2 linked regions of the Drosophila melanogaster genome follow. The protein of the gene in region 1 interacts with the protein of each later gene in a pairwise test. Each region holds a gene or a part of one and is shown in the gene's direction. Other genes may lie near its edges. The genes, in order: Ubc10 and CG12362.

Region 1 (15,752 bases):
TCTTCTTTCGACTTGGAAATCAGCTCGACATCGAAATAATATAGTACACGTTAGTTATGCGCTTGTTCCGGTTTGCATTTGGATAAGACTCTATGGGGTGTGTATGGTCTGTTGTGGTCTGGCTCAAAGTACAGCTCAAGATGAGGCTTTGTAAGATTTGCTTAAGAAAGGACTTGATCCTCAATGGGGTTTCATAAGAAAGTAGAAAGTGTTGCCGTCTGCTGTTGTATTTACAAAATGCTTCGATGTCATTACTCGTATGACCTAAAACGATTTCAAAACTAGTCATGTTAAATGTCTCTATATATCCGTATTTATATATATATATAGTGACGTATTTGGGTGGTCCAAACCAGCCACTTCCATTATTTCAAAGAAATCAGTAATGCACTCTAGTAATTTTCCATAACGTATCCCAGCTGCGCAGCATTCGTTTATCTTTGGCAGCGCAGCCGTTCTTGTAAACATCCTAAAGCCTGACCTAAGCAGATTTGACTGCCCTCTTTCAACGCTACCTAATCTTAAGAACCCAAGAGCGAGGCTCTCCCGAAATACAAATATTGTTCAAATACTGAGGCTTCTCCTCAATCCAATTTGCATTTGATTTTTAGTCTTAAGCTGAGATCCAAAGAATAAAGTCGTGAAACTATTTCTCCTAAAAACTATTTTTTATTTCTTGGCGTTGTCCTTAGTCAACTGACGGGACATTAGTTCGACTCATAAATAAAACAACAATTTTACTATATATATATATATATATATATATGCTGGTGTGTTGTATATATAAGTTTATAAAGTTTATGTATGTAATACGTTTAAAAAGATTTTTTGGTTTCTTTCCTTCTTTTTTTTGTAATGTTTTTTTGGAAAAAGTATTTCTGTTACGTTGCGGTTTATGATTACGTTTAAACATACTTATCAGTTAGCGGGTTCCGTAATCTTGGTTTCAATTTGATTAATACGTCTCTTAGATCACTAGTATTACAATGGATGCTATTTGTGTCGCTCGTTTCGTATTAGCTTTCTGGGTATTTTTTTCTTGTTGTTTTTCTTTCTGTTTTTTTGTTTTTTTTTGGTTGTTTTGGAAAATGCTTTCTGTGGTCGAACCTGCTTCTTAGTGAAAACATATTTTGTAATACCTAACTCTTTGGTTAGCTAACGACTAGAACGTAGGAAGAGAAAGGAATCCGATTCACATTGAACGCACGACGTCTGATTCACCGGCCCCAACCAGGATCCTGATTTCGTGGCTGCTCGCAAAATGGTTAAATGGTTCTACTAATGGATACATATTGCTTAGTCGATTGCAGCAGCGATTGGGGCGGAAAATCAGAGATATACCAGTGGAGAGCAACAGCGGAAGTCAACACAGCGCAACTGAATTCGATCCAAATCCAAATCCAAATCCGATCCGGGACATCAAGCCATCCTCTCTAAGTTGGACTATCCGCTTTGGAACCGGCATTCGAGTTGTCTTGCAGTTGAGCTAGTGTCTTGAACTTTTGAGAGTTTAGGAATCTGTTGAAAAAGATACCCCGTTTAAGTATAAATACAGTATCTTTTATTTTTGCCTAAAGAGCACTCACCTCGGATATGAGTCTCTGTGCATCAGTGTGTAGATCTGGATTTGAGCTTCGTCGAAGGTGTGCGTCGTGGGCTCGATCATGTTCCGGTTGACAATCTCGCGGACCCTGGAGTCCAGCGACACCTCCCTGGGCGACAGGATCGAGATGTAGTCCTCGTAGATGAGGCGCGCCTTCTCCTCCACCAACTCTGGGCTATTCTCCTTCTTGAGATCCTCGCAGGCCAGCCAGAATAGGATGTTCTCCTCACTGAATTCGCTGCGCAGGAAGTTCTGGAACACCTTTCGACCAGCTGGGAAAATATTCGGCCAACCACCAATTAGTTTGGATCAAGGTGGCAATTGTCAATGGCTTACCTGTACTTTTCATCAGCTTGTCAAAGCTTTTGCCCCAGCTGCGGATTTCCTCCAGTGTGGGTCTGTAATGTACAAATAAATGTAGTTTTTCCGTGGCTTAAGTTTATTAAGTTGATTGGTGCTCAAACTCACTGCTCGCCATCCAAGAATTCGGCATTTACCAGATCTCGCTTCGTGGGGGCATTTTCATCGGCATTCTTGATGGCCAGACTGTAAAGATAAGAAAAAAGGGAAAAAACAAGGGGGGTTTGCTTGTTAAAAGTCGATTATTTTGATTTTACAACTCATCAATCACCCTTTAAAGTATACTACAATTTTATTCATCGCTGAATTGGCGCTCAGCCTGACTCATTTTTAACTGGCACAAAATAGCATAAATATGTAAGTACAGTAGCCGCTCGATAACGTAAACTTTTAGATAGCGCAAGCTACTGATTAGCATTTTATAAAACACTTGCACCAAACATAGAAACTGAACATAAGCGATTCTACCACATTTTAAGCTAGAGAGTTTAAAAGTTACTCATATATCTGAACGCGATATAAAGATATAATGCCTCGAATAAACACTGTAGATAGGCTAATGGCATATCGGTTTTGGGTTTCGAAGCCCGGAGACAGAGCAACGGAGTACTCGAACTTGACATAAAGCTCTCTTATCTGGACGACAGTTATCAGAGCGACTCGCTGGCCCAATACCTAATCAAAGTCACACAGGCGTACATATACCCCTATACATATATGAATCAAATTAGATGCGGCCAGGGGGGGTTTGAGGCGACATCGGGTGCTCTGAACTGGGTTTTCGGGGCGATATACCCCCAAGTTGTGCACACAAAGGTGCGGACGGGGGGTTGCGAGTTGGCGGCGGGTCGCAAAAGACTTTCGTTTTCATTCACGAAAACATGCAACACTTGGAGGAGTCCGCGGAGGAGCCGCCACATACTTATTTATATTTGATTTGAAAAGTGCCCTCCAGAGAGCTTTTCGCTGCCCGTCGCCTTGCTCACGGAATTGTGAATGAATGCGGGAGAAACTGAGAGAGCGGCACCAGTGCTAAAGAGCGTTTCGTAAGAGAGAAAGCGGAGAAAGTTCGCATGGCGGAGAGAGAAAGAGCTTTTGGATGTTCAGCAGCGTTGCCAGCTGCCAGCAGAAGGCCACCTTTACCGTGTCCATTTCCATTTCAACTTCCCTATCCATATCCATATCCATATCCATGTCAGTGGGCACAGCCATAGCCGAAGCCAAAGCCAAAGCCAAGCAATAGTTAAAGCCAAAGCAATAACCATAGCTGTAACCGTGGCCACATCCATGACAGCACTGCGAGAAACATGGACTAATAATATTTCGACTCTCTTAAAAAAAGGGCTCAAACAGACAACCTTTAAAATGAAATGATTTATAAAATAAAAAAATAAAAAATTTGCAAAAAATTGATATTGAAATAAGTAAAAATAAATAAATTAATTAACAATAACGATGTTAATGTAACCAAAGATTGGTTCATCTGTTATAGTATATCTTGAAAATAAAGCTAACTAGGTAAAATAATTACGTATTTAAAATAATTGCGCATTTAATATTCTATACTTTACAGTCCAATAATACCAATCGATTCTCTCGGTGTATGAATGCATGAGTGTTTCAGGAGGTGCTTACCATTTGGCCCTGTTGTCAGGATGTGGTTGGCAGTGGATGGGTATTGGCACAGGTAGTTGTTTTAATGACCGAACGGTTGAGTCAAGGCAGCGCGGTAACGAGAAAGAAATTGATTTCGTGTCAGAGGATTCGAGCGGTGCACAAATAGGCCACTCGGTGGTGGCCTCCATACTCACCAGGAGCAGGAGCAGCAGCAGCACCAGCAGAAGCAGCAAGGCTTCTGCGACTGCGGACGCTGAAACGTGGTCGCGTTCGACTCCTGCAGCACGTTGGACGTGGAGCCGAGGATTCCCACGCTGCCGCCCACGGTGGGCGATACTCCGCCCAGGCTGCCGCCACCTCCGACGACGCCCCCGCCGCCACCGTTCCCATTGCCATTCCCATTGTTGCCACTATTGTTGGCGGCACTTTGCTGTGAGGATGCAGTCATGCCGCGCAATCGACAGCCACTGGGCAGCTCGGAAACGGTGCAGGACATGCCGCTACCTGCAATAAAGGAACAAATTGAAACGTTAATGAACACTGTGCACGGGATGGAGTGGGGGGAAAGTGTGCTGACAGTTGGGCGAATCACAGTCACACTGCAAAAAATAGCTCTATTAGTCATCTAGAAAGAATTGTTAACCAAGGTGCCCGGAACTTAACTACTTAATTGTCTTGGCTGGTGAGTGTTTGTCTTTTTGGTTTGGATCCCATTAATTTGACAAGATGTCATTCAAAAGATACTGAAACTGATTCATTATATTATAAATATTATTATAAATATTATATTTATATTATAAACATTATATTCATAAATATGTTATTTGAATCTAGTCAAAACACCTTTTAAATAAAATTGTAATATTTGTTCTTTGCATTTATCACAAAGAAACTTTATATGAAATTAAAGATTAAATAGTAAAGAAAACTGTTGAATTATTAAAACATTGATTGTTTGTATATTTAATTTACCAAAACTATCAAAATATAATAAATACATATTCGGGAAAGTGTAATCTGGAGGAGTAGGTCCAACTGCTCCCGATTCGCCTCGTTTTCCGTGTGCACTTACCTGCCCTTTGAAAGTTGAGGTTGACGCTGGCGGAGCTGACGGAGATGGTGGAGGTGGAGATGGTGATGGGTGTTGGGTGGTGAGGTGGTGCTGCCCCAGCTGGCGGACCGCCCACTGCCACTGACCTACCCACTCACCCGCTCGCTTTGGTGCTCTTTTCTTTGCTTCGGCTTCTCTTTCTCGGCTTCCTTGGGGATGTGGGGTATGCAGGGAGACCGTTACGTATTTATGTTTTTGCTAATAATTTTTTATCGAAAGTTCCCACACACTCTCTCTCTCTCTCTCTCTCTCCCTGTGGCGCTCTGTCCTCTCTTTCTCGCTCTGCCCACAGCTGCTGCTCTTGATTTTAGTTTTCGTTTTGTTTTATGTTTTTTTTCCTTCTCCTTAGCTTTTCCTTGGGCGATTTTACAAGCCGAAAAATTCCAGAAATTCTTCAAGATTTTTTCGATAACCTTTTCGAGTAGTAGTTATCCTTATCGTAGGTTCCTGACTTCAAACCTTCGCGTGGGTTTGGTTTCCGTTTTTTTTTCTAGGGGGTCTAGCGTTTCTTTAGAGAGTTGACGGTGCGCGGGTGGCATTTACATATTCCGCTCCGGATTTACGGGCGAAAATCTAGCGATTCAATGGCCCCGTGCACCAAGGGGCACATTTCACAAGCGTTACGAAATTTATGAGCAGCTGGAGCTGCCACCGTAGTTGTTGTTCTGGCCTTTATTTATTTCTTGTGCTAGTCATTACACTGCCATTGTATATGTACATATATATGTAGGCGCCGTTGTGTGCGTGCGTCTGTGCGTGTGTGCGTGAGGAGGGGGTGGGCTGGAGTACCACCACATTGACACGCAACTTGGCTAAGTGGAGCGCATTGTTTGGCCCGTTGGGCGGATGGGGCGTATGCGTGATTTTCTCCACTTGTGCTGATGTTGCTGCAACAGCTGCAACATGTAGGCATCAGCAGCTAATTGCACTTGTTTGTAACTCGAAACGCCAGCGATTTTTGGTCGTTGCACTTATCACAAATCAGCTGCTTGGGTTCTTTTGTTGACCATTGCCTTTAGCCTGGCTATCTATGTATATTATATGTATATTTTGTTTTATTTTCTTGTTGTTGAACCAGCGCTTCCGTTCAGATTTTCACTCAAACACCACACACACGTTTATATTTTCTTTGAGGATTTTTGGGCGAATGGGTGGGCGGGAAAAGGGGGTCGCGTTTGTATGTATGTATGTTTTTGAGGAGCAGCGACGAGTACATACGAATTTTTGCCACTAGAATCGGAATCGAAATGTGTATATTTGTATATATTTTTCTTTTTCGCCCCGAAATTGTTTTGCTTGTGCTTCGATTTTTTTTTTGTGAATTTCTTTACGATTTTTTTCGTTGACTGTTGAGAATGTGTGTGTGTGTATGAATACGAATTGGGGGAAACTGCAATTTTCGTGGTCACTGGACTGCCTGGACTGGCATTTTCACATTTTCACATTTCGCCCTCGGCCATATTTTATTATATTCCTTCGTGCTCGGTGCCCCCGCAATGGCAGCCAATTCCCATTCGATTTCTGCGCTCTGCGATTTTGGCTGCTCAGCACCAGCAGCACCCAGAAGCTGAAGCCAAAATCCTCGACGGGTCGATTCGAGCGTTTCGAGATTCTCTCCGCTCGGGCAAAGGCAGGCGACTGATTTCCAAGCAGTGCCGTGTCGCCAGCTCTTGATTTTGATTTTCCAATGCGCGCGCTCCTCCCGAGGAACGCAAGATAACGGCGAGTGGAAAGTGGGCAGCCGGGGGAGGGCTCCATAGGTGGACTGAGCGAAAAGCTTTGTGGAATTGCTATACAGTTAGAATTCCTGGTACACACAGGAGAGGGACTGACAGGCGGAGAGCGCGAGAGAACGGACGGTAAGACATGTGCGCGAGTCGGAAAAAGAGAATAAAGCTCGGGACTCTTCGCCCCACTGGAATTTACCGCAAAGCTTTGGGGCCAGAACTTATAAACTTTCGGCAGGGTTGCACTTACATTTTGATTTTGGGATCCCGTTGATTTCGAAAACCGTTGTTTTTAAAATGTTCGAATGAAATGGTTATATGAAATACTTTACTTTTCATAAAAATTAATATATTTTTTATTTACTATTGAAATTTCACAAAACTTTCGGAAACTAAAAGAAACTTTCTTGGGGTTTGTACACCTAAATTACGTGTATAGTCGGATGGTACTGTCCGCGCCCGTGGAGAAGACCCATGGCTGCACCGGATGCCAGTTAACATCCAGCACACCAAACTCATCGCGTTTCTCGTGTGTTTGCAGCTTCTTGAGAGGCACAATCAAAGGGTTTTGCAGCAGGTCACTAAAAAAAAGTTTGGAGAAATTCGTAATTAACCTTGGGCAATGTTGATTTATAGCCACTTACTTATAGACCATGCCATGGGAGACGATCACAGCCTGGTCATCGCTGCCGGAAGCAAAGAGCGGATATCGAAGATGGAAAGCAACACTGCGAACTGCATTGCGATGGAGTCGCATGGTCTGGTAGGGCTTTGTGGACAGATCCAAATCGAACCAGAGCATCTTTTTGTCATAGGTGGACACCAGCAGATTGTCGCCCTTGGGATGAATAGACATGCCCGATATCCATTTGGAGTTGGTCAGCAGCTTCTTGACAAGCTCTTGTTTGACCAGATCATAAATGCGAATGTTGTGTTGCGTCTGTAAAGAAAAAACAGAATTCAATAAGACATACTAACAAAAGAAAATTAACCCACTTACCGCCACAAAGAAGCAGGGCTTCACCGGATGGAAGAGCACGAATTGGATGAGACCCTTGCTCTTGGAGAATGGAATCTGTGAGCGCCGCTTGGACAACTGATGAATTAAAGCCGAGCGGTTAGCACCTTCGGGCATCACTGTGGCCAAGTAGTCACCACGACCGTGCCAGGTCACCTGTCGGATGGGTTTGAAGTGGGTAATCACTACGCGGACGCCCTTCTCCTGCTCATCAGCTTCCGCATTTGACCATTGCACCGCCGTCTTGATGCGTTCACTTTCAATGACATCCTGACTGGGCGCCTCAGCCAAGAGATCGTCGGTCTTCTTCACCAGCACCTTATCGCCCACTTTAGGATTGACGAGCAGCAAGCGATTGCCAGTGGCCACCGCAATAATAGACAGCTTGGGATTTGGACACCAAGCCACACAGCGTACCACTTCGTCGGTCTCGATTGTGCGAATGCAACGACCTGTTGCAATTTCCCAAACTGTGAGGTGAGATGGATTAGTAAGAAGATATCTAAAAGGTTGTCAATTAAATTAGTACTTACTCTTGACGGTTTTATCATCCGAACCGGAGACGAGGTACTCTCCCTTGGGCTCCACACTAACAGACCGCACCAGATCGGTGTGGCCACGGTAAACCATACTCTCCACCGTGGGAAAGGGTTGCAGGTCACGCGGCGAGGGCAACTTGGGGATAAGGTACTCGGCATCGATGTTCAGCTTGACACGCTTTGCACGGGGACACAGGTAAAGATCCAGGCAACGAAGGAAACGCTCCCGAAGGTATCTCGAGTATGCGGGCACCTCCCTCAGCGACTTGAACTTCTGTGGCATGAAGTGCAGCTTGCGCTTGTGTGGCTCGTCCTTTAGTTTAAGCCACTCCTTGGTCTCCTTGGCATCGAAAAGATACTCTGGCGGTGGATTGTAGGACTCGGCATGACCGGGAAGGTCGCGTTTGGGCGCAGAGACTGGATCGTGGATGCGGCGCATGTGTTCCCGACTGGTGTCCGTTTCCCACAGCATGTAGAACTTGGGACCGCGCTTGGCCTGCTTCTCGCGTTCCACTTCCTCAGTGGTCTTCATCCAGCCCATTTTGAGGGCGTGCACCATGCGAGAGACGCGCTTTTTCTCGGAAACTGAGGGCAGGAAAGAGCGTTTGTGGTCGGGTACGTTCTTGATGGGCATCTTTTCCACCTCCGATGTGAACCATTCGATCCAGGGCTCATACTCTTCGTGATCCTTGTTGGGTATGCGACCCGAAACGATGCGCTTGATCAGAGCAATGTCCTCGTCTGTTAGGCGCACATCCTGACCGGTAAGTGGATCCTTGACGGTACGCCAAAAGTCTGGGTCCTCGATCTTACGCAGGAACTCATCAATTTGATCTCCTTGTGGTGGTTTAATAATCTTCTTGGCATCCCAGTCGTAACCGATGTGCTTGTATTCGTCGTACCAGTGCATGGGTATGTTGCCTACAGTATTTCTTATGTCCTCCTCGTCGGAGGTATCTGAATCCTGATACTCAGGCTTCGAGCTATCCCGTTTCGGGAGCTCTGCTGTAAGGGCTTTTTTAGACGCGGCACCGCTTCCACTGGGCTTATCGTCTGTTTGCTTTGACTTGGAATCCTTCTCCTCATCTTCCACTTCCTCTCCATCAGTGCTTTCCTCCTCTTCATTATCCTCTTCATCACTACTTTCTTCATCTTCCTCAGCTGATGAAGATTGCTTTCTGCCCAAGTAGTTGCCCTCCTCATCGCTCTCGAACTGCAGTTCCTCACTGGAATCCGAGTGGTATTCCTGGTCTATGCCCTCGTCATCTGTTGAATCTTCGCCGGGATCTTTTACAGCTTGCAGCAGGTCCTTAAAGAGCACAAACACACATGCAGGTCATTTTGAAATGACTTTTTATATCACTGTCAATGGGTCTTACCTCCTCCTCCTCCTCGTTTTCGGAAGCCTCGGAACTGGCCACCACTTCATTTGTGGGTTCCGAATCCTTTCCTCTGCGTTTCAGAGCTAGTTTTTTGGTCATTTTGAGGTAAAAACAAAACTAACGCGGCGCACGTGTTGCAGTCAGCGATAGCGATGGGAATCGCCTGAAACGGTTGCCTATCGATTGGCTTGCCGCCACTGCTGCTGGTAATCGGTTACAAATCCATTTGGAAACAGCAACCCTTTTATTTTCATTTGTTACCTCTCTTAAAATATACATCTATAATAAATACTTTCCAATAAAGATTTATTTAGTATTAAACATAATATTACAGCCGTTGCAAGTTGCAAAATCAAGACAAAGTTATACATGACCAATGTATATGTATACCAATTGCAGCGCCGTTGCGAGCAAGTCTGCAAAATACCCTAACGCTAATTGGAAGATTCTTCAACGAACCATTTTCAGCGAAATTCGCAGACTTACGTGCGGATTTTTTTGGGCCAGTGCGAAAACCAAAGGTGACACCCCGCAACTGGAGCACTAGGAGCTCACCAACAACGAAACACCGGCGGCTGAACGAGAGTATTACATATCCGGAAGACAAAACCATCGATTTGCAGCTCACACAAGGGCAAACAAAAGTGCACACGCACACATTGGCAAGGTGGCCCCCTCCTCTTTCCGTTCCACACACACCTACGCACACACCAGCATAAGAGAACCCACACATAGACATCACGATGACTGCGCCGCGACGCCTGCGAAAAGAATTGAGCGATTTGCAGGGCAACGCACTGAAGTCCTTCCGGGACATTAAGGCGGACGATGACAACCTGCTGCGCTGGACGGGATTGATTGTCCCGGACAATCCGCCGTACAACAAGGGCGCCTTCCGCATCGAGATCAACTTTCCGGCGGAGTATCCTTTCAAGCCGCCCAAGATTAACTTTAAGACACGCATCTACCATCCAAACATCGATGAGAAGGGCCAGGTGTGCTTGCCCATTATCAGTACGGAGAACTGGAAACCGGCCACACGCACCGACCAGGTCGTGCAGGCACTGGTGGACTTAATCAACGACCCTGAGCCGGAGCATCCGCTGCGGGCGGAGTTGGCCGAGGAGTTTCTTAAGGATCGCAAAAAATTCGTGAAAAACGCCGAGGACTACACCAAGAAGCACAGCGAAAAACGTCCGGCCGACTAGCGGATAGGCGGAGGTAGAGCTGGAGGAGGTGGGCCAGTCCACAACCCATGTGTACCCTTACCCCTTAGTCTTGTGATTTTTCTGTTAGTTATTTAATTTTCATTCTTGATCCATGAAAAACTATCCTCAGAAAACATTTAAGCAGATATTTCCCCGGCAGAGTACCTAGTTTTGTAAAAGTAGCACTGTAATTTGATGCAAGTGAGAAATACATGTTCGTTATGTTAAAATACAGCTGCCGACTCTTGGATGGAACCGACATCTGAGTTGGATGTCGGAGCTACGGGCATGGGAAATGATTCCTCGCCCAACATGCTACGGAAGCAGGTCATTACAATGCTGTTGTTGTGCTGAATGAGGGCCTTGCTGAACTGGTTCTTCTGCAGCTCCTTAATGTCCAGCAGGCTGTGAATGGCCCCCGCCTGCTCGTCCTTAAGAAGTTCCAGCACCTGTTCCAAGGCACTGTTAGCCGTATCTTTTAGCTTACTCAACGTGAGAGTTTGCGCTTGATTGCTATTAAAACAACAATCCTGATAAACGCTCTCTATGAGAAATAAGAGCAGCGACGCCGCGTAATGGGTGAGAAACAGGAACTTGTGGAAGACAATGCTGTCGGGCTTCAATTTCTTTACTTCTTCCAGGAGATCAATGAAAAAGCGCTGCTGGGCGGTGTGGAATGCCTCGTCTTCTGTTGGTGGCAGGTAGCATAGTGTCTTGCTTTCCAACTGGCACTTTGGCGCAGACTGCCAGACAGGGTCGAGTTCAAATGTGTCCAGGATGCGAAGGCGCAGAATGAGTATTGGTTCCGAGGCAAACATGCTGCTTTGCAGGCTCTGAACAGGTGCTCCTCGTGAAATGTGAAGATTCAAGGGTGCCGTTCTGTTCTTAACGTATGAATACGGTGTTCTATTGTTAAGACACTTCTCCAGTTGATTAAATTCCCGACGCAAGCAGTAAATCTGCTTGAGAAGGTCACCGTGTTTCAAGGACTCCCTTTCTGTGTAGGAACCGCCATAGACAGGCACTTGGAATCCCAGAGCCTTACTGGTGGCCTCCTTGTCCACGATGCACAGGCTATCTTCTAATGGCTTCACTTTGTATAGACTGTAGTAGGTGTTCGCGACAAGACTGCGCAGGTGATGAAGATGTCTCAGATAATGACGATCATTGGACTCGTAGGCATAGATACTGCCCTCGATGGCATCCGTTTGAAGCTTCATGTACATACGGCAGGCGATCTCGTGCTGCATGAGAAAGTCGTGGGGAATCTGGAACTTGGCAAACAGTGGCATTACCAATGTGTCATTCGGCTGAGCAAGCTTGCTCTTTATCTCCTCTAGCAAACGAGGCAAGTCGGGATGGTCCTTGTTGTAGTTCAGGCAGATAACATACACTTCCGAATTTCCCCGCTTGGAAGTAGCCGGCTTAAAGATGTGTACCTCCTCAAAGATGCAATTGAGTGTATAAAGTAGAGATACACTGCAAGCCTCGAAGAGGGTAAACATCTTCACTAGGAAGTTACCGCCACTTGAGAGAATTCTTAAGGCACTGAGTACTTCAGCAAAGAAAAGGCGAACCACTATCTCTTCCTGGCAATCAGGCTGTGCGGCACAATCGATGGAACCATCGGCAGTGACAAGATCCACCTGTCCCTGGAACTCCACCTCACAACGTTCCACCAGGTGGTCAATGTTGGCCACATCTAGTAGATTTCCAGTTAGATCTTTGTGAAAGAACCAGTTGTCCAGCGTGTGGACGATGAACCTGTCATCGCTGATCATCTGGTTTATAGCATTGCCTTCATAGTACGGATTCAAAGTAGTTGAGCGCCAGCGCCATTTAATCTGGAAAAAAGAGTTCCGTTCTCGTATCTCTCAAGGATGACTTGATAACTCACCTCATCCTTTTCATATTTGCTATGAAGGTAATGATTCAGAGATGCTATGAAGGCACCGGGTGCCTCGCAGAGATGCATACTGTTGACAGCCGGCTTCGTGACCAATGGATAACGATGCAGGCACTCGAACAACTTGCACCATGCCACAGTTACAAATTCGGCCTTCGTGTCGTTTTTCAGGCGCCAGGACACCTCGCCAGAAGGGTCACGCCTGTTGGTGTGAGCACTCCATTCCTGCACGCCATAGTCATTGAGTTTGCTTTTAACCGCATTCAGCTGCTCGCGCAGTCCCTGCAGCGCCTCGAACTGGTAGAACTCACTGAAGAGAGCCTGATCCGGTGGCGGCAACTGCCAGGATTTGTTTCCTTTCGGCTTCTGATAGTGGAACTTCTTCTCGAAGAGCTGCTCCACTTCGGAAGGCCGGATGGACTGATAGTCCGTCTGTAAAGTGTGAAATGTAATGACTGACTTGTAGGATGTAGCATCCTTTACTCACCATTGGGTGTGGCTTTCCCTGCGGAGACGAACGAAAGCTCATTCCGGCTAAATTTAAATGCGAGGCGTCAAAAACAAAGCGATCTGCGACACAATAGAGATGGAAAAAGCTCAAAGCGATCCATCGCCTAAATCTTAGCGACGGTAACTAAAAATCGCAAACGTTATCGATTAAGCTATCAAATTTAAATTGATTTTCCGGGCTGCAATGAATAATTATTTTATATCTCTAATGCAATATTATAGCTAATTCGTAGATGCAGAAGATTTGGCTAGACGTTTCCATAGCTTGTATCTGAAGATGAATGGAATAAGAACAAAAGCCATCAAGAATTCCATCTTGTTTAAAAGTTAAAGGTTGAAAAATAACTTCAGCCAATATGTTAAATGCAATTGTTTTTTTTTTTTGCCGCATATTTCTTTTAAAAATGTTTCTTAATTCTAGGTATTTTTCGACTAATTCCCTTTATCAAAAGAACAAAATCGCTATCTCCTGTAGAAATGTAACTTCCTTTCCACCTTCGACGGCGATGATCGTCAAAGGCATTTCCCGTAGATGCCCGATGGTGGAAACGTGGAAACTGATTTCTTTGATTCTATGGAACTATCCATTTAGAAAGCGCACGGCAGGCGACAAATAAGGTGCCTGCAAAGTGTGCGGTTACGAAACTATTGGTCATCATCCGTTAGTGATTCGATTGTGCATACTAATATTTCATTAAAATCTTATTTTATTGATGCGGATAGCCCAAGTACGGAAGTTGGAGAAATTGTCGGAAAGTTACATATACATACATATAAACTTACACTCCCAATCGGAATGTGGTTATGTCTTGGGGTCTCGGAATTTCAGCATCGACCATCGTGGCCAATGGGTTTACTTAATACGCGCATGCCTTGCCGACTTTATGGCCATTTGAAACGTGAGTCGTGTTTTTATGAATAATAATAACGATATTCAAATTATGAGTTTCCAATGCTGACAAAAGAAAAAGGATCGCATTGGCTACCGCAGGGGCATCACTCTTCCCTTGGAACTCGACATCGGTCTTGAGTAACGTTCTCCGCCTTTATATACATATATATATATATATATATATATATGCACATAGCTCCCTCTCATATACAAATAGCAGTCGTAGCATATGTGTACGTACATATAGGTGTAAGTACCCAGGCCGGTATATTTGTGCCCAGTTTGTATATAGAAGAGTCCGGCACGTGACTGTTTTGTATAATCGCGCATAAATATCTGTAATGTAATGCCTATAGATAATGGTTCACAGCGACGGAGCAACAAAGTTCTGTAGTTACTTCGGCTTAATCGTCCCGGCAAGATCTATGTATGTATCTTCGTACTCCTTGGACATCTTCAATAGCTTCGAGCGGAAGTAGCAATCGCTGCGCATGCGCCGTGTTTGGCGTTGAATGGTGGCCATGGCCAATGCATTTTTGGGGCCCCCCGATGGCGAACCGACAAATTCCAATTCCGAAACGACAACGACTGGTACGTGGACACGGCTATTGTTGGCCACAAAATTTTATTTCATTTCATATTTTTCTCAAAAGGGAGTTCATTAATATTCCGGGCAGACGGCGTTGCGCTAAAAAGCGGCTTAGCCTGGCCGGGCACAGCTCCATGTATCTACGTCTCCGGCCCTCCACCCTTTTTTATTCCCCCATTGGCTGGGCTGGCTACCTGTCGCCATGCACAGGTAAGCCTGTACTGGTACAGGTATCACCCCCACACTGCGACGGTGTGCGTGAGCTGGCAACGGACCGCAATCCCCGTTCATTCTCCATGTGTGAGTGTCAAATGCCAACTAATTGAAACTTCTTCAATTGCCGAGGTGTGGTGCTGAGCTCGCCGCTCGGCTTCGGAATCAGTTGCCAATTAGTCTCCACCGCTGACGGATTACACTTGCCATCGTCTGGGAGTCCAGCGCTCCAAGCCCGTCATCTATTCCAACAGCAGCATATACAGTATAATTCGCTTAGCTGCATCGATAGTTAGCTGCATCGGCAAGATATCTGCATTATTTTTCCATTTTTTTGTGTGAATAGAAAATAGAAAATAGAAAAAAAAAAATTAAGTTAGCTGCATTTTTAAGTTACCTGCATCGAGGCATTGTGCAAAGTACTCGAGGCAGCTAAGCGAATTATTCTGTATACACATATGTACGATGTAGGCACACAAAACTTGTTAAGTGCTTTTCAAAACAACAAGCCTTTCATTGATAAAAGCCATTGGATAACAAGCGAGTAATAGACGAGCATTTGTGACCAGTGAGAATGTTTCGGTGAATTGTGAACCAAAACGGTTGGGGTTTCGTCCATGTCGGATCGATCGTATATCAACTCCGTTGGTAAATTGGCAAGATGTCGGCATAGCTGACGTTGAAAAGCGATTTTGAAGAGCGCTATGCTGCATCTAGTCAGTTGTTCAATGGAACAGTCAGCGAGATCGAACAGAACAGTAGTGGAGTTTTAAGCTCCATCGTAATCTCTTTTTTTTGCAGATATATAATCATAAAATATCTGAAGGGATATTAAAACATTTATCGATTGGAATATTCGCAAAATGTGGAACAGTTTTTGCATTTTAAAAAACCGTTTTTCGAATGTTATAAGCAAAAGCAGTAAATTTACGAAGTATTTTTATTTAATAAATATCTTTTAATACAGTATAATTCGCTTAGCTGCCTCGAGTACTTTGCACAATGCCTCGATGCAGGTAACTTAAAAATGCAGCTAACTTAATTTTTTTTTTTTAAGGAAAAATAAAGAATTTATTT
Region 2 (16,552 bases), on another chromosome or scaffold:
TCAAGTGTTCATGCATTTTCTTCATTGATTGCATTTTTTGTGTTCGTGCGAATGATGTTCGTTGCTAATTAGCCCAAGGGGTTGAAACAAAGGACTTCTGGGGGATATTGCATAATAATTATGCTCAAGTGGCGGCTGGAAATCCGTGAATAAAATGCAATAAAGCTTAAGGACGCACATCTGAATTTAATTGCACGCAAATGAAGTGCAGTATTTATCTGAAACCAAAATGGTTAATATTTGAGCATATTTTCAATAAATAATAACAATGCTACGGAACTGAAATCACACATCCAGCAACTGTATTCCACACCTTTGTGGCAGTCATTACAACTGTATCAGTTTCATTCACAATTGAGTTGTTGCCATTGTTACGACTTTATAAGTGCCTGTATCTAAGTATCTAAGCAATGGCATAGTTAACGTGTTTTTTTTTTTTTTTTGCCAGCTGCCGACTGCTATATAAATATTTCTGATTGCGCTTTATAGAGTTATAAAAGAGTAAGCGCAAAAAAGAAAAGAAAAAAATATGGCAAAGTATGGTAATAAATGCCATGGCATTTGAAAATGTTATTAAAAAATGCTGGTGAAAAAAAAATATACTGCACAGAGAGAGAAGTCAGGCCATGCATATAAATTGCATGGCCTGCATATAGAAATAAATATAAAGTGAAACAAAAAAATACAAATGGTATACCAATAAGTGGTGGACAGGCTATGACGTCAGTTGGCCAAAATACCAAGCCAAGAGCCAAGTGGTGCCAGCCACAGAGATCACAGCTAAATCAGAACCATAAACCAGAAACAACTTCTAAAAACAACTTTCATTTTGTACTCGAGAACGCTGCGCTCGAGTACTGCAACAAAAACACAAAAAAAAAAAAAAATAAAAATAATATTTAAATTGAATAAAAAGCTGGAACAGACAGAAACTTCAAATGATTGCGTTTCATTTCCCATTGAGAATGAAATGTGCCAAGGGGTGTGATTGGGAGGACCACGTTCGTAATTAAGTTGAAGTCGCATAATTCAATTAACGTCTTGGCCGTCTATCGCTAATGGGTGGTGCTAGTGGTTCTAGTGGTTCTGGTGGTTCTGGCGGTTTTAGAGGTATTTCTCACTGCCGTTGGAGCACACGCAAACGCAGGCAGCAAAAGCACCCACTGCTGCATTGTATTTACTAAGTGGAACTGGTCACTGATCTGGATTAGCAGCAATAACAACAGCCGGCCAAGTAGACGTCAACACAATCACCACACAGAGACTCGAATGCTGCACTGGGCGAAGGAATGGCAATTAGAATATTGACAAAATTACTCAAATAAAAGCGTTAAAAAATAATAAAGTAATAAATTCTACCCTGGCATATAATTTAGACATTAAATTAATCAATTTGTAAACATAAAGTAACATAAACCACAAGTTCAAGGAACATAATGAATGTTGTTAATACATATACTTGTGTTGTTAGCAAGTGACAGTTACGATGCGCTCTAAATTGATTTGCGGTGAACCTACGATTTTCACAGTGCATTAGAGCCGGGCTAGGAAATATTGTGGGGACACCGCTGTACCAAAGCGTGACAGGCATGAATTAACAATTTGAATTAATGTCAGTTACTCATGGCATGGCTGCTGCTCCAAAGACTGAGTGCGATGGCCAGGGGATGGTGATTGGATTGGGGGGGTAGGGGGGGTAGGCAGATTGAGTGGGCGCCCTCGTTTTAGTTCGCCTTAGTTGCACTTACTAATTTCTGACTACGACTGGCATTGATCTTTGCATTGTCCGTCCCGTCCGCCGGCGGCCACAAAATGAAAGGAAAAGTAAGTTACGATTACGTTGCCGAGCGAGCGCAGCGGAGTTAACGTTAACGTTAACCAGAGGGAAAGGTAATTGCGATTTGGCCAGAAAAGGGAAAGGAAATGTTTCCTGCGCTGTGATTTTTGCTTGGCCAAGTGTCAAAAAATGTGGCATTCCCCCCCTTTGGCTTCACTCAGATGAAGGAGGGCCAAAAGGCGGGATTGGGATTGGGATTGGGCGAGATGGGGTACGAACGAGACTGGAACCCGGCTGAGCTGGCGCCAAATTAACCGGAAATGTCACAATGGCAATGGGCGACGTGCGGCCCGCTGCCCGTTTTGGAAATTATACAATTTTGTCACGTGACGTGCATTAGAAAACACAGTCGCACAAAAACACGAAGATATTACCAAGACGTGCCAGACTGTCGCGGTCCAAGCAAAACCAAAAAATGCGGAGAAAAAACAAAGAAAATCTGATAGGAGCGAATCAAACAATTAAAGGCCAACCAGATAATCGAAACATAATATGAGGTATGAAAGGATACTGGAAACATAGTTGTGACCATACAAATTTAAAATGAAATCAATTTTTTAGAAAACTGTTTTAAAATAACAGTGTAGGTGCGTATAGTCACTCACTTTGATAATTTGTTGCAAGTTTATTTAGTTTACTTATTTATATTTGCTTACAATAAATTTCAATTTAATTCAAATGCCCCCAGTACAGCACTAAGTAATACGCTTTAATTACAACCAATCCACCCCTGAGTTCCCATTAGAATGGTATAAAAACCAGTAACGCCCCCCACTTAGACGAGTGTGAACCCGTCAACTCTACTAAATGTCAACTGAACACGCGAAATTCCGCAGCAGGACTTTCACTGGCCAGAGAGTCCTTTTTCTGAATCATATACCTGCATATACAGCCGGCCGTCAAAAAAGTTTTTCAAAACCAAAGGCAACGTTCTCTATGTCACTAAGTGGATGGGGTTTTTTTTTTTTTTTTTTTTTTTTTGTTCACAAAACCAACGAAAAGAAGCCGCAAAAGCGCGAGAATATTGGCGGACGAAATGCAAAACCCGCTTTGAAGTCTGAGCCCAGTGATTTGCCTTCTTGGTGGCAAACTTACTAACTAAACTGCCACTTTGAAGTGGCGTAGTTTTCCTTCTTAACGCACTTTCTTCGTTGGCGAAAAATACCATACCAGCCAGAAAAGATGGCGGAAATGCTTCAATTTCAAAGGCGAAATGCCGCCAAACGATGAAGAGACAGCAGCACGTACGAGTCCACACATGTGGTGGAAAAAAGTTTTTCCTCTGCTGATTTCTTTCACTTTTCGGGGGTTGAATGTGTAAAAGGGGGAGCACTTTCACTTTTCTTCGCACCCAAGTATTCTGTCACAAGGCTACATTTTTTTTTGTTGTTCCTTTTTTCGCACAACCTTTTGATTGGAAGTATTTGCGCAAAATATGTGAGGGTGGGATTATGATAAAGGATATGCCCTAGGGTTGCAATAGAACACAATCGTTTTCAAAGCAAATTTTTGGCACTGCTTTTTCTTTGATGAAGAGTTAAAAGAGCTGTCTGTGCAGTGACATTTGCGAATGTCAAGTTAACACAAAAAATAAAGACCTGCAGAAATGATTAAATATAATAAAAAAAAATTGAATATTTAAGATTCATCTTCACCAAGGTACTGTGATAAATGTGCTGTTCCCGTAACCCATTTTTCCAACCAACCACTTGATGAATGATCACCCGGATCGCACTTAAAACGAATTTAAAAGTCTAGACTCTAGACCAAAACGAAATTTCACATAAATCTCTGACACACTCGAAACTTGAAATTAATTTTTTGATTTTAATTATATACGAATTCATCGCCGGGCAGCTACTGTTAAACCGCTACTCAAGGTCAATCAATAGCGCAGAGAAAACATAAATTCAGCTGTCCATGCCAACCGTTAATGTAATAACTCATGCCTCACCGCGACTTGATTATGAATCGAGAGCCAGGCTTTAAACAGAAATACAAAAAAAAAAATGCTAACATTCTTTCCTATACTCGTACAAACTCGTACATATATCATTTCTCTTTTGGGGGCCCCCGTCGCATCAAAATCAAATTAGTTCCGAGCGTTGATTTTCTTCCAACAGTGTCGGCGCTTCATGCTCGTTGATTTCCAGCTAATTTTTGCTTTTCAAATCGACTACACAATACCCAGAAAAGAGAGTAATTATAATGCGAGAAGCGGGCGAACGCATTTATCGCTGCGATCAGCATACATCCGTTTGCCGCTGAAATAAAGCTTGTAATTACCTGGCTAATTTACATGAATTTCGAAGCGAACATCCTTTTTGGCCAGAGAAACCGTTTGCCGAGCTGGAGAAAATATTTCCCAAGAATATTTCGCAGCAAATAGTTGCAGGAACATTAAGTACACGTTGAAAAATATAGATAACTTAAATGTACGAAATTTAGAGAAAATAACAGCAACTTTTAAAAGATTTGAATTGAGCTTTGGTTTTTTGTTTTGTATGCTAAATTGTTTACATTGAATTTGTATCTTCACTTGAATCTTATCATTAGTTTTTCGTAGTGGAAAACTGTAAGTAGGCGCAGAAAAATGCCTGTTGGCCGGGATTGTTGGCTTTGCCTATCAGCTATTTGGCATCATCATCGGGGGCAGGCATGTGGTTCTTGGTCTTTTTGGCGTGGTCACGTCACAGGGCCATCGCTGTTGACCATCATCATTGCAGTTGGCCATTTCTCTCGGCCTCTCGCAACGCGATTGGCAACGATAAAGCGTCGTGGCCAACAAGTGGCGCATCTATGTTGCGATTGCATTTGCATCGTGGGTAGATGGGGAAAATTCTTCAAATTTTGCACATATGACACTGGCCACGCCCATTTGCTGGCAACCGCCTTCGTTCGCTCCTTTTTTTTTTTTGTTATCCCTGCTTCTTTTGCACCAGCAAATGGTCAAATTATTTCCTTTTCCGCATTTTCCACCAAAGCATTCACGCGCACGAAAGGATTTCTTGTAATTTGGCTGTGACTTGAAAAGATGCTGGATGAATGAAAAAAAAGGGGCGAGAATGTGGATCTCCAACCACACGAACTGATGAAAGGGATTTTGTGGGCTGCCTTTGCTGTTTTGGCGACTTGGCATTTTTATTTGTAATGATTTTTGCCAGCTCTTTTCGCTTTTCTGTTTTTTTTTTTTTTTTTTGCATTCTGGAACGGGCTACTGTTTTTGGCGGGTTGTTGTGCGGCTTTGTTTTAAATAAAAAGTATAACACAAAAAAGGGAGGGGAGAGCAAGAAATAAAGGCATGACCACTATGTGTGCTTCTCCTCTGTAAATGCATATACTCACGTAAACAAAATTCAGCACTCAAAGAAAAAATTAATGAAATAAAGCAGTTTGGACGAAATAAGCATTGACTTAACTAGATAAATGTTTTTTTCAAGGCAAGTATTTTAGAATCATAATATATTAACCATTTTAGTGACAAATTTATTTTGCATTAAATACGCCTATTTTAATTATAATTATTTTACTTACAAAGTTTCGAATAATGATAAATTTAATATTTTAATTGCAAAAAAAAATAAATGTTACTCTCAATTTTCTTCCAGTGTACTACTACCCAAGTGCATCTTGGCATGGCAGATTGAGCCCGCTTGTTCAATGAGTGCTGGAGATGGGCTGGATTGGTCTGCTCCTGGGATCCTGGACGGGGATCCTGCATCTGCATCTGCATTATGCACACTCATTACCCTTACTCCAGATCGCTCTCTCTCTCTCTCACTCATTTTGGCCTTCCGTCCCGCTCTGGTCGCCATTATCCTGCGCTCACTTCACTTTCATTTCGCATATCGTATATATGTGTGCATGGGGTTTTTTCCCGGATTTTATTCCTCGTTTTTATTTACGTGCCTTACCCTTGCCACTTGAGACATTGCTTTGTTCTGTTTTATGCCACGAAAGGGTTATGAAAAAACATATATCCCGAAAAGCTTTTAGTGTGCATGTGAGAACGCGTTAAAAGCGCAGGCCAAGTGCATTTCGATGTGCTCTCAACTCAAAACTAAAAATGCTCGATGCCTAAAGCCGCATAGCAACTAAAATTCACATAAAATTCTACTTTCAGTGTTTTTGCTATAAGTCTTATAAAATTTTTCAAACATTTTTTTATATGTTTTTAACTACCAACACAACACTGGTGAATCTCGTTTTCCAAATATTGCAGACATATTTTTGGTGGAAAGCAGTTTATGTAGCCATTCTAATAGCGGTTGGTCCCAAGACTTCAAAATTTTACAGCACTGGTGCTTACATGGTTGTACAAACTTACCAGATAATTTGAATCGAAAACGGCAATCCTTAAATGCTGCCATATCGTACAATTTATTTGCGTGTGTCTTTTTCGCAAAGGGAAATCTTGACAATTACTAACTAAGTAGGTTTAGTCTTCAGTAGAAAAAAGAAGAAAAACACAAGAAAAAATTAATTCTTTACATCGAGAGTGTTCAATAGCCTCCAATACGATTCGTGGTCTGTAAAACGTTGTTGCTGTCGTGTTTGTACCGTTTATATGAGTCTCTATTCCATCAGGCCCATAAAAGACATCAAATGTTTTAGATCCGGTGTTATAAATTCCAAAAAAAATTCTAACCACATGCTGGTAATATGAATTCCGAAATGGAATTCTCGGATGAGGACCACGGTGACTCGCATCGGTCGCTTCTCACTCACATGAGTTGCGAAAATGACAGCGACAGCGAGGACACCTGCACGGAAATCCTTTTGCCGGAAAATTCCAACAGTCCCGAAACGGAGGACTTTGTGTACAAGGTCCTTTCGGTGGACCAGATTGTTCAGCATCAGCGTAACATCATCGATGAGGTGAATAATGTCCTGAATTTGCCACCGCAAGTCACGCGTATTATCCTAAATCACTTCAAATGGGACAAAGAGAGCTTGTTCGAAAATTATTTCGAGAGCAATCCGAAGGACTTCTTTCAGCGTGCCCATGTGTTGAATCCCTTTGAGAAGAAGATTGAACGCGAGTCTGCGGCGTCTACATCCTGTGCCATACCTCAGCTCTGTGGCATTTGCTTTTGTTCTTGCGATGAGCTCATAGGTTTGGGCTGTGGTCACAACTTTTGTGCCGCCTGCTGGAAACAATATTTGGCCAATAAGACGTGTAGCGAGGGCTTGGCCAATACCATCAAATGTCCAGCGGCCAACTGCGAGATCCTGGTGGATTATATATCCTTTCTGAAACTTGCCGATGATTCAGAGGTTGTCGAGCGATATCAGCAGCTCATCACCAACACGTTTGTGGAATGCAACATGCTGATGCGATGGTGCCCCGCCCCCAATTGCAGCCATGCCGTCAAGGCCGTTTGTGCTGAACCACGAGCAGTCCTTTGCAAATGTGGGCATGAGTTTTGCTTTGCTTGTGGCGAAAATTGGCATGAACCCGCCAGCTGCAGTTCGCTCAAGAAGTGGGTGAAAAAATGTCTTGAGGACTCGGAGACATCGAATTGGATTGCCCAGAACACGAAGGAGTGTCCCAAGTGCAATGTTACCATCGAGAAGGATGGTGGTTGCAATCATATGGTATGCAAGAATCCATCCTGCCGTTATGATTTCTGCTGGGTATGCCTTGGATCCTGGGAGCCACATGGTTCGTCCTGGTACAGTTGCAATCGCTTCGACGAGGAGGAAGCGAAACAGGCCAGATTGGCTCAGCAAAAATATCGCTCTTCAATGGCCCGATATCTGCACTATTACAATCGTTATAGCAACCACATGCAAAGTTTGAAAATGGAAAATAAATTATATTCCAATATTCAGGCCAAAATGGATGACATGCAGGAGGAGATGAGCTGGATTGAGGTTCAGTTTCTGCGTGATGCCGTCGATGTCTTATGCCAATGTCGAACCACTCTGATGTACAGCTATGTGTTTGCATTTTATTTGATGAACAACAATCAGAAGATCATATTCGAGGATAATCAGAAGGACATGGAAATGGCCACAGAAAAGCTGTCCGAGTGCTTGGAGCGAGAGATCACTGTCAAGAATATCTATGAAGTTAAACAAAAGGTTCTGGACTTATCGCACTATTGCCAAAAACGACGACATGTCCTCCTTTGCCATGTGAGGGAGGGATACGAAAATGACTGGTGGGAATTTAAAGAAGAGACCACTACATAAATCGTATAATCCAATGACATCTGTATTCGATGAACAACATAACAAAAATGGAAATTAATACTGAAGACTTTATAAGAAACGCACACAGTAAATCTTTCGGTTTTCACTCGGGTTGAACTGACTTCAGTTCACTGGATAAATATTTTTCAAAATTTACAGTTTTTATACAGGAATAGAAAAATATAAACAATAAGAAAACACCAACCTTTAGGCATTGTGGAGTACTTGCATTTAAATTGGATGTGTTGGTTGTATTTTTTGTTTAAATATTGTGCTATTACAATGTAGCGTCCTCTAATAAACTCAATTAGTGTAGAATTTTGCAGAAATATTTTGCTTTCATCAGACCATTGAGACTTTTGTGCAATTTCCTGACAAGTTTAGATCCAATCTAGTTATATCGCCAGCCCCACTGTTTGCTCTCCTTCTTTTTTTTTTTTTTTTTTTTTTAATTTTTATTATTTATTGAATCTTCCCTTTGTGTTAAGAGACTAACAATAAGTGTTCAAATCTTAATCTAACTTAATTAACTTTCACTTAGTGATAGTTTTTTTTTTTTCATTAATGCCCTAATAAGTTTATTGCTGGGCTGGGAGGTCGTTGCGGTGCAGCCGGCTTTGACTGCATACTCGGATTAGTTTTCTTGCGAGGGGATTTGTATGGGTGGTCAGCTTTTCGTTATACTTCGTTTTTTTCTCAGCTATTACTTCGATTACTAATTTGATTTTTAGGTCTCTGTGTATGTTTTCGTTCCGAAGGTACCACGGCGCTCCAGTGATAATTCTCAGAATTCTTGACTGTGCTCGCTGAATAATGTCTATGTTACTTCTGGATGCGTTGCCCCACAGCTCGGAGCCATAAGTCCAGATAGGTTTTAAGACGGAGTTGTATAGAAGAGCTTTGAACTCCAGACTAAGTGGAGAGCGAGCATTTATGAGCCAGTGGAGGTTCCTTGCTTTAAGTTTAAGATGTTTCGATTTGGCTTCTATATGTTTGCGCCAAGTGAGCCGCCTGTCCAGATGAACTCCCAGATATGTTACCTCGTCGGCTTGTGGAATGCATATGTTATTCAAGACCAGTGGTGGGCATGTTTGTTTGTTTAAGGTAAAGGTAACCTGCTTGCATTTTTGAACATTTATTGAAATTCTCCAGTCGGCAAGCCATCGTTCTACAGATGTTAAGTGTCGGGATAGGAGTGCCGTGGCTTTTATTGGGCATTTCGAGCGACTGAGTATCGCGGTATCATCAGCGAACGTGGAGGTTGTTAGATTGTAGTCTATGGGGAAATCCGCCGTATACAGGGTGTATAAGATTGGACCCAGTACACTGCCTTGCGGCACTCCAGCTTCGATTGCGCAATCGCGTGAAGTGCTTGTATCGCATCTTATTGCAAACACTCTGTTATATAGGTATGACTTCAGTAGCTTATGTGTGTTTTGGGGCAACAGCTTGATTATTTTAAACAAAAGTCCATCGAGCCACACTCTGTCAAATGCCTGCGCGACGTCTAGAAAAATGGCTGTGCAGTATTCTCGATGTTCAAAAGCAGTACGAATTTCTGACGTGATTCGGTTGACCTGTTCGATGGTTCCATGTTTTTCTCTAAAGCCAAATTGATGTGTTGGAAGTGTGTTGTTTATTCTAAGATGAGGGCTAATCCGAAGGAGTAGCATTTTTTCAAACAGCTTTGAAAGACATGTTAGTAAGCTTATCGGTCTATATGATGATGGCTGCGTTTTATCTTTTCCTGGCTTTGGAATCATTACTATGGTCGACTTTTTCCATTTTTGAGGGAAGTATCCAAGCTTGGCGATTGCGTTGAACAACAGGCAGATGTGAAGAATAGCACACTTTGGGAGTTCAATGAGCATTCTTGGAGTTATTAGGTCGTAGCCAGGCGATTTTCTTGGGTTCAGTTGCTCTTTGATAACCTTTGCTAGTTCACATGGTCGGAATTCAAAGGGTTCTTGAGGATCTAGATTGGCTGCTATTAAAGGAGGGAGAATAAATGTGTTGGTAGAGGGATTTGGTCGGAATACATTTTGTAAATGGTCAGCGAAAGCACTGGCTCTTTCTTCATCACTTCGAAACCAGGTGCCAGAGGGACTTCGTAGTGGCATAATTGGCGCTATTGGAGTCTTTAGGTTTCTGTGAGCTCTCCAAAGAGGGTACTTAGTGCTGGTGGGAGAGAGTTGCTCGATATATGAACGTTGGCTGTTTTTTTCCTCTTGTTTGAGAGCATTGGTAAGCCTGCGTGTGGCTATCTTAAGCATGTGCTTAGTAATTGGTGATCTATTAGACTGCCAATCCCTTCGTAGGCGTCGTTTATCTAATACCAGCCGCTCGATTTCGCGATTAGTTTTGATGTAGTTTGGTTTTGCATACGTCACTGGCGGGGTTGAAGCCTTTGCAGCCGAAACTAAAATGTTTTCAAGAGTTTCCGTTGACTTGTCTATATCCTCCTTTGTAGATAATGCCGTCGTTAGTTCTATGTGTGAACAGACATACTTTTGATACCTTGGCCAGTTTGTTCTAAAATTTGTGAGTCTATACGGTGGGTCGACGATGTGGGGGCGAGTTAGCATATTTAGAAAAACAGGTGAGTGATCTGATGATAAATCTGCTAGTGCTTCGGCGGTGACCATGTTGCGGGGGACATGTTTAGTAATTGCAAAATCGATCAGGTCTGGGATTTTTCTTGGGTCTGCTGGCCAGTATGTAGGCTTACCCGGGACCTTCTCTCCTTCTTGGACCACTAATATGCGTCTGGCTTTTGTAATTATAACATAAATCAATCCCAATTTCATGTTATACTTTTCAGCGAAGCAAAGCGATTAATGTCGACAATGGACCAGAGAGATATGGCATGGCAAGAGGAAAATCATAAATAAGCCATATATTGCCATGGCCAATAACGGAATGGAACGAAATGAACACCCCACCGACCAACCGATCGACCGTATGAAAAATATTTCCTTATCGCGATGCTTCCCCAAGAGAAACGCCGCCAGGTGCAAAACGAAACGTGTGGATATATCGAAGTGTTTGGTGGTGGTAGGGGGGGTGGGAGTTGTGGGGGCTAGGAACTGGCAACTGGAAAAGCCTTGGCCAATAGATTTACGGCAAACGGCAGCCGAGTCGTGCCTGCCTTGGCTTAGAGTGTGAATTTTCGCACCCGTGATGAAGTTTCCAATTAAATTTTATTGGATTTCAAATTGAGGCTGAGACTCAAGCTGCTGATCCGATGCCTTTGCCTTTTTCCAGCTTCGACTGGCTGGTAAATATTTGCGCACCATTGTTGTGGCAAGTGTTGAAAGTGGGCGGTGCAGTGCTAACCCCCTTGCAACCTCCCAAATCCACCCACCAACTGCCCCCACATCACAAAATCCACTGTCTCTGGCAGAGTGATTTCTTATGGCAGTTCAATTGCGGGGTCATCAACGTGTCAGCATTCGAATTGCACCATTGCGGATGCCACAAAGTTGCACCCTGGAATTGACTAATTTATGAATGCATTGTGGGAACGCCTAGAGTATTTCGGTGATTGGCAGTAAATATTTCAGAACGAGGTGAAAGTTTTTAAGTGGTTTTCTTTATTAAGTTAAGTTACTTTAAGCTAGACGAATTGATAATTCGTCATTGATAATTTCATTTGTATGCATAAAATTGTAAGCAAATAACTTTATGATGATAAAACTAAGCTTGGGTACATAACTTACCAAAAAATTTTAAATTCATACGCAGTTTAAAAAGATATTCAGATGGCTTTCAATTACTCGAATTTTCTTTATCAACTTCCGCTTTTCTTCTCTCTTTTCTCTGCCCAACTTTAAGCTCTGGGCCTCATCTCTGTTTACCTAGCATATCGGCTTGGCCATAAGGCAGCAAGTGGCAGTCAACAGTTGGCCTGTTCCTGGCCCTAGGACTTCGGCTCATTCAACAAGTCAACAAACAAAACACACACAGCGGAGAATGAAGAAAAGATGACGATGGGGAATAAAGTAAAATAAAATGAAAAAAAGAAGAAAAAAAATCACTGTAGTCCTTCCGTTGGAGACCTGCTCCCTGGTCAAGTTGTGCTCAAGTGCGTTCGTATTAATTTTATTTATTGGCCACAAAATCCCAACCGCAGACACTCTGCCCCTTCTTCAGGCTTAACGGTCTCGGTTGGTCGGTCGGTCGTTCGTTTGGTCGGTAGGTTGCCTGGTTGGTTGGTTGGTATGTCCTGCTCCTTGCCTCTTGGCCTGGCTTATTGAATTTTTATCTACAGTTTGCCTTTGTGCTTATGGCATCTCACTGAATCTTGAATCGCCGCCAGGGCGTTAGCTATTTTTATTATGGCAAATTCTCCTTCAGTTTTGTTTTTTTTTCGCTTTCTACTTCGAGCTGCAGACACTTGATGTCCTTACATCTGCTTTACAACTTGGTCGCGTACTTTCAATTACGCGCCTTCGTCCTGCCATTGTCCTTGGCCTCCGTCGAAGGTCGGTTAATAGCCAGCCGGGATGACAATGGACCAGGGCCAGAAAGTGTTGTAAGCCAACTGAGATTACCGGCAAAACTGTGTCAATGGCCGGGATAAATCAATCAACTGAATGAGGAAGTAAGCGCTGGCTGACCTTTGTTTAAGAACAATAATGGCGTTTTGAACCAACTTGAATGGGATGTTTTATTGGTTCACTTAGTATTATCTTTAATATTTAAGCTGCAACTTGATTCGTTACTATATTTATATTTATTTATTTTATTTAAAATTGATGCACTTATAAAAAAAAAAACCAAATTTCCGTTCATAATTTTTTTTTTTTCATATAAGAAGCACCTGTCTCTGGTGAAAGACGTTTTATGTAATTCACGATTGCAGCCAATTTGTTTTTGCACTTTCTAATGGCTTCCCCTTTTATTTCCTATCTGCGGCACATTAGTTGGACCATTGAGCAACAATGTTGTTGCATTGTATCTTTTTGTACCGCTTTTTGCGGCGAAGGCATTAGCTTTGCAATAAACAATTTGCAGGAGACACCGAAAACAAAATTATATTGTATAGATGATATTTGTACAAATTTAGCTTTTTTTAAGACTAAATTTAGAATAGGAATAATTTTTTTTTTTTTTTTTAATTGTTTTTGAATTAAGTGATGAATGTTTATGTTTATATTAATCGAAGGCTGGCTTATTTCTTGGTTTCTAAGTTTTTTTTTTGCGGTGTAACTTTGACTATAGTTGGATCTGAATCTAAGGCTGCCTCTGCGACTTCTTGGCCACTTTTTGTTTTTTTGACTAACTTGTACTCCTTGCACTATCACTTCATCAGCGACGTGAATTTATGAGGCACTTTGCGCAGTCGCCGAGCATCGTTGGCCATAATTTGCCGCCGTCTTGGCTTCTCGGTCTCGTCTATTGCCGAGTGCACAAATTGCGTTGATATGCTGACAGGCGGCACACAGCTTGTGCACGGCGAGAAAAAGCCCCCCCACTTTATTAGCACACTCATTTGCCTATCGCCCATCCAAAAGTGGCGGCAAAATGCATTGAAAGTGCCCAGAGTCTTCGGACTTCCACTAAATTGAGGCACGCGCGCAGGCGTTAAAGAGTAAACAAATAAACAGTAGGCACCAGCAGCGGTCCACAAAAACAAAAAACAAAAAAAAAAAAATTGAAAAAATAAAGAAAACTTCAATTGAATTTAATTGGCCAACTTGTGAGGGGCAGATAGTTGGTCTTTTCGACACTAACTAACTGTCACATTTCTGTGATGCGCGAGAATTGGAGCTCAGATGCGTAAATAAGCGAGACTTTTGTGAAATAACGTGTTATCGAACTTAGGAATACTCTATTCACAGAAGAAATATGAATTTAATTAATTCTCAAATTAGGAAATGCTTAAAATACATATACAAATGTTATAATTTTTTATATACAAATGTATGCGTAATTCAAAATATAGTATTACTAAAATAAATACGCATTTAGAATCGGATTCAAAACCTTTCTTTTTTGTTTTTTTTTTTCGAAATGATATAGCAGTTACTCACATATTTAAAATATCTTAAAATCTGCTATATAACTTTATATAGCATTCATTTCTTTGCAAATAAAATATCTTCAAATTCGTTACATTTTCAATTATACCCCTTTATGTAGTGTAACTTTAACTTAACTCATCATACAAATTAAACGCATTCCTCGGGCTACAGCTGCCGTGGCTTCTGTTTTTTCTGCTTATCACTTGTATCATCATCATCATTCCCCAGCCAAAAAACAAAAAAAAAATCGCCATCGAAAAAGGTCGTGCCAATTTAATTAAGCGACATTTTATTTAATTATTTCATATATTGATTGCAAAATGTGTAAAGCTTTTAATTGCGAAAAATGACCGCAATTCCCCAAACGGCGAAAAACCCATGGCTCTCACATTCCCTTCCGCAAATATGTGTGTGTACATATGGGCAGTAATAATTTCAATAATTTCGCATGGCGAAATTGCTGGAATGAAATTGATTTGGCTTGACAGGAGATGCATTTAATGCATTTATATTGCATTTCATTATGCTTATTTCATTTCGTAATGATTGAATTGCAACGGCTCGAATGATGACTGCCAATAACAAAGGACAATTGGACAAATCAAACAGATATGGAGCTTTTTGGTCTCATCCTGGGTATATCACTCTGCTGGATCGTGTTCGTACACTGAGAAAATAATATGCTGAGCTATATATATAATTAAATATATTTGAACTTCCTTGATGTTTATAATATAGTCAAAATAATATTATTTCAGCAAGAACAAATCAACTCCAAACCAAATAGGCTATTTAACTGGTACTATTACAACACTCTTGTTTTGCTCCCATTTATTAAGTTAATCATTTGGCAAATAACATTAAAAGTTAGCGAGCTCATTGAAAATGTATAGTCCCGCAGCTATTGTTTAGATTTATTTCGCTGTGTGAGAGCCGTTTGGGCAAACATATCAATTATGCGGCACATTTTTGCTGTTATAAATATTTACGCAGAAATTAATTATTTGATATTAAAATGACCGCCAACATTTTACACTCGACTGGGGCCTAGGATCTGCGAAATCCACTCGGGATATTGGCTTTATCCCCGGGCTTCCTGCGGTTGAGTTTTTTTTTTTTCTTTTTGTATTTGTATTTTGTTTTTTGAATTGTGGCCCGAGTGACTGGTTGACTGGTTGAATGGCCATGGCCTGGATGTGTGCACTGTGATTGACACGGTAAATGATATTCGCATTATGCACAGGATATGTTGCTGTCCAGTTCAGAGTGCTCATGTGTGTGTGTGTGTGTGTGTGTGTGCTGGTTAAACAGGAAACGGAAATGGCAACAAGCATTGTGTGCAGTTCCATTGGGAGCCATCTGCATCTGCATATTGCATATTTGTTGTTTATTCAGCCACTGTGATTGCCATAAAATCCATTGTTGTTTCATTTGTTGTTGCTTGCCAAATGGCAAAATTTAAAGCCTGATGAGCCGATAAACGCTTTAAAATTGTAACCGATGTTGGGCAAATTTTTGCATACTGCCCCCCGTCCAATATAATTTGCTGTTTCAGCATTCAGAACCATCCTCATCATCGTTGCGAAACGCCCCAAACCCTGGATTTCTCATCACGCCCATTCAGAATGTAGCTATACTCTCAAGCCCCTTGCCCGGATAAAGGCATCTACGTTGGCAGGAGCTGAAGAAATGCTCTTTAAGGATCCACTTGTGTGCCCGGGCTCTCAAGTGTCCTTTGCATGTTAGCGAAACCACTTGAAAATATGACGCGTTTGCTGAAGTATGCAAAAATTGCACATGGAACACGGAACACAGGAGGTTGCAAAAAAAAATAAAAATACAACCAAGCTCAACTGCTCAACCAAATCGCGGAACAATTCAATGTTTTCACTGCTTAAAGTTGTTCTGCGTAGGCCTAAGATTTATCGAATTTTTAGGTTTTTTGTGTACGACATCATTTCTATCAATCGATGGCCAGCAGGGCGGCAAATGTGAATCGTTGGCATAAGAGAGAAGTACACAAGGATAATATTGCTGATTCCATGGAAAATGTTAACCACAATAAGTATCTTTTCCCTGCTGTTTTTGCTTTTTACTTTTAAAAAATGGCAATAAAATTAATAAGAATTAAGCTTTTAGAGTTATGGTTATAAAATATGGCTTTAATACATTTCCAATCCGAAAAGCGCAGTTTTTCGCCCCCAGATTCGATCAATCAATACCCAGAACTTTGGCGTTGGCGGCGAACATGAAATATCACGGCCAAACCCTTTTTTCCCGAGCCCGAAAACTTTTCGATTTGATGTTTGGATTCGGTATCGCATTGGGTTTGGGTTTGGGTTTTGGTTTCGGTTTAGGTTTCAGTTTCAGTTACAGTTTTTCCTTGGCTGGATTTCCTGCAGCCGCCGCCGCGAACGTGAGCGTAACCAAAATTTTGCCAGAGGGCTTGGCCAAATCAATTCAATTGCCAAATTATGCCAAACCTAGGAAA

Evidence for each region.
Region 2: the proteins of Ubc10 (region 1) and CG12362 interact in a two-hybrid assay, tested with the Drosophila melanogaster proteins (one large-scale study listed by BioGRID).

What each region holds. Positions count from the first base shown.
Region 1 is NT_033778.4:17,783,451-17,799,202, reverse strand, and holds Ubc10 (ubiquitin conjugating enzyme 10), read left to right. Parts: upstream 1-9,792; 5' UTR 9,793-10,100; coding exon 10,101-10,565; 3' UTR 10,566-10,789; downstream 10,790-15,752. Other genes in the region: Dhit (double hit), read right to left, coding at 1,434-1,518, 1,587-1,875, 1,940-2,001, 2,072-2,149, 3,599-3,607, 3,775-4,076; CG5033 (uncharacterized protein), read right to left, coding at 6,846-6,999, 7,063-7,358, 7,419-7,906, 7,970-9,284, 9,355-9,456; aft (adrift), read right to left, coding at 10,790-12,409, 12,463-12,903, 12,959-13,000.
Region 2 is NT_037436.4:10,406,538-10,423,089, forward strand, and holds CG12362 (uncharacterized protein), read left to right. Parts: upstream 1-6,280; 5' UTR 6,281-6,499; coding exon 6,500-8,035; 3' UTR 8,036-8,237; downstream 8,238-16,552.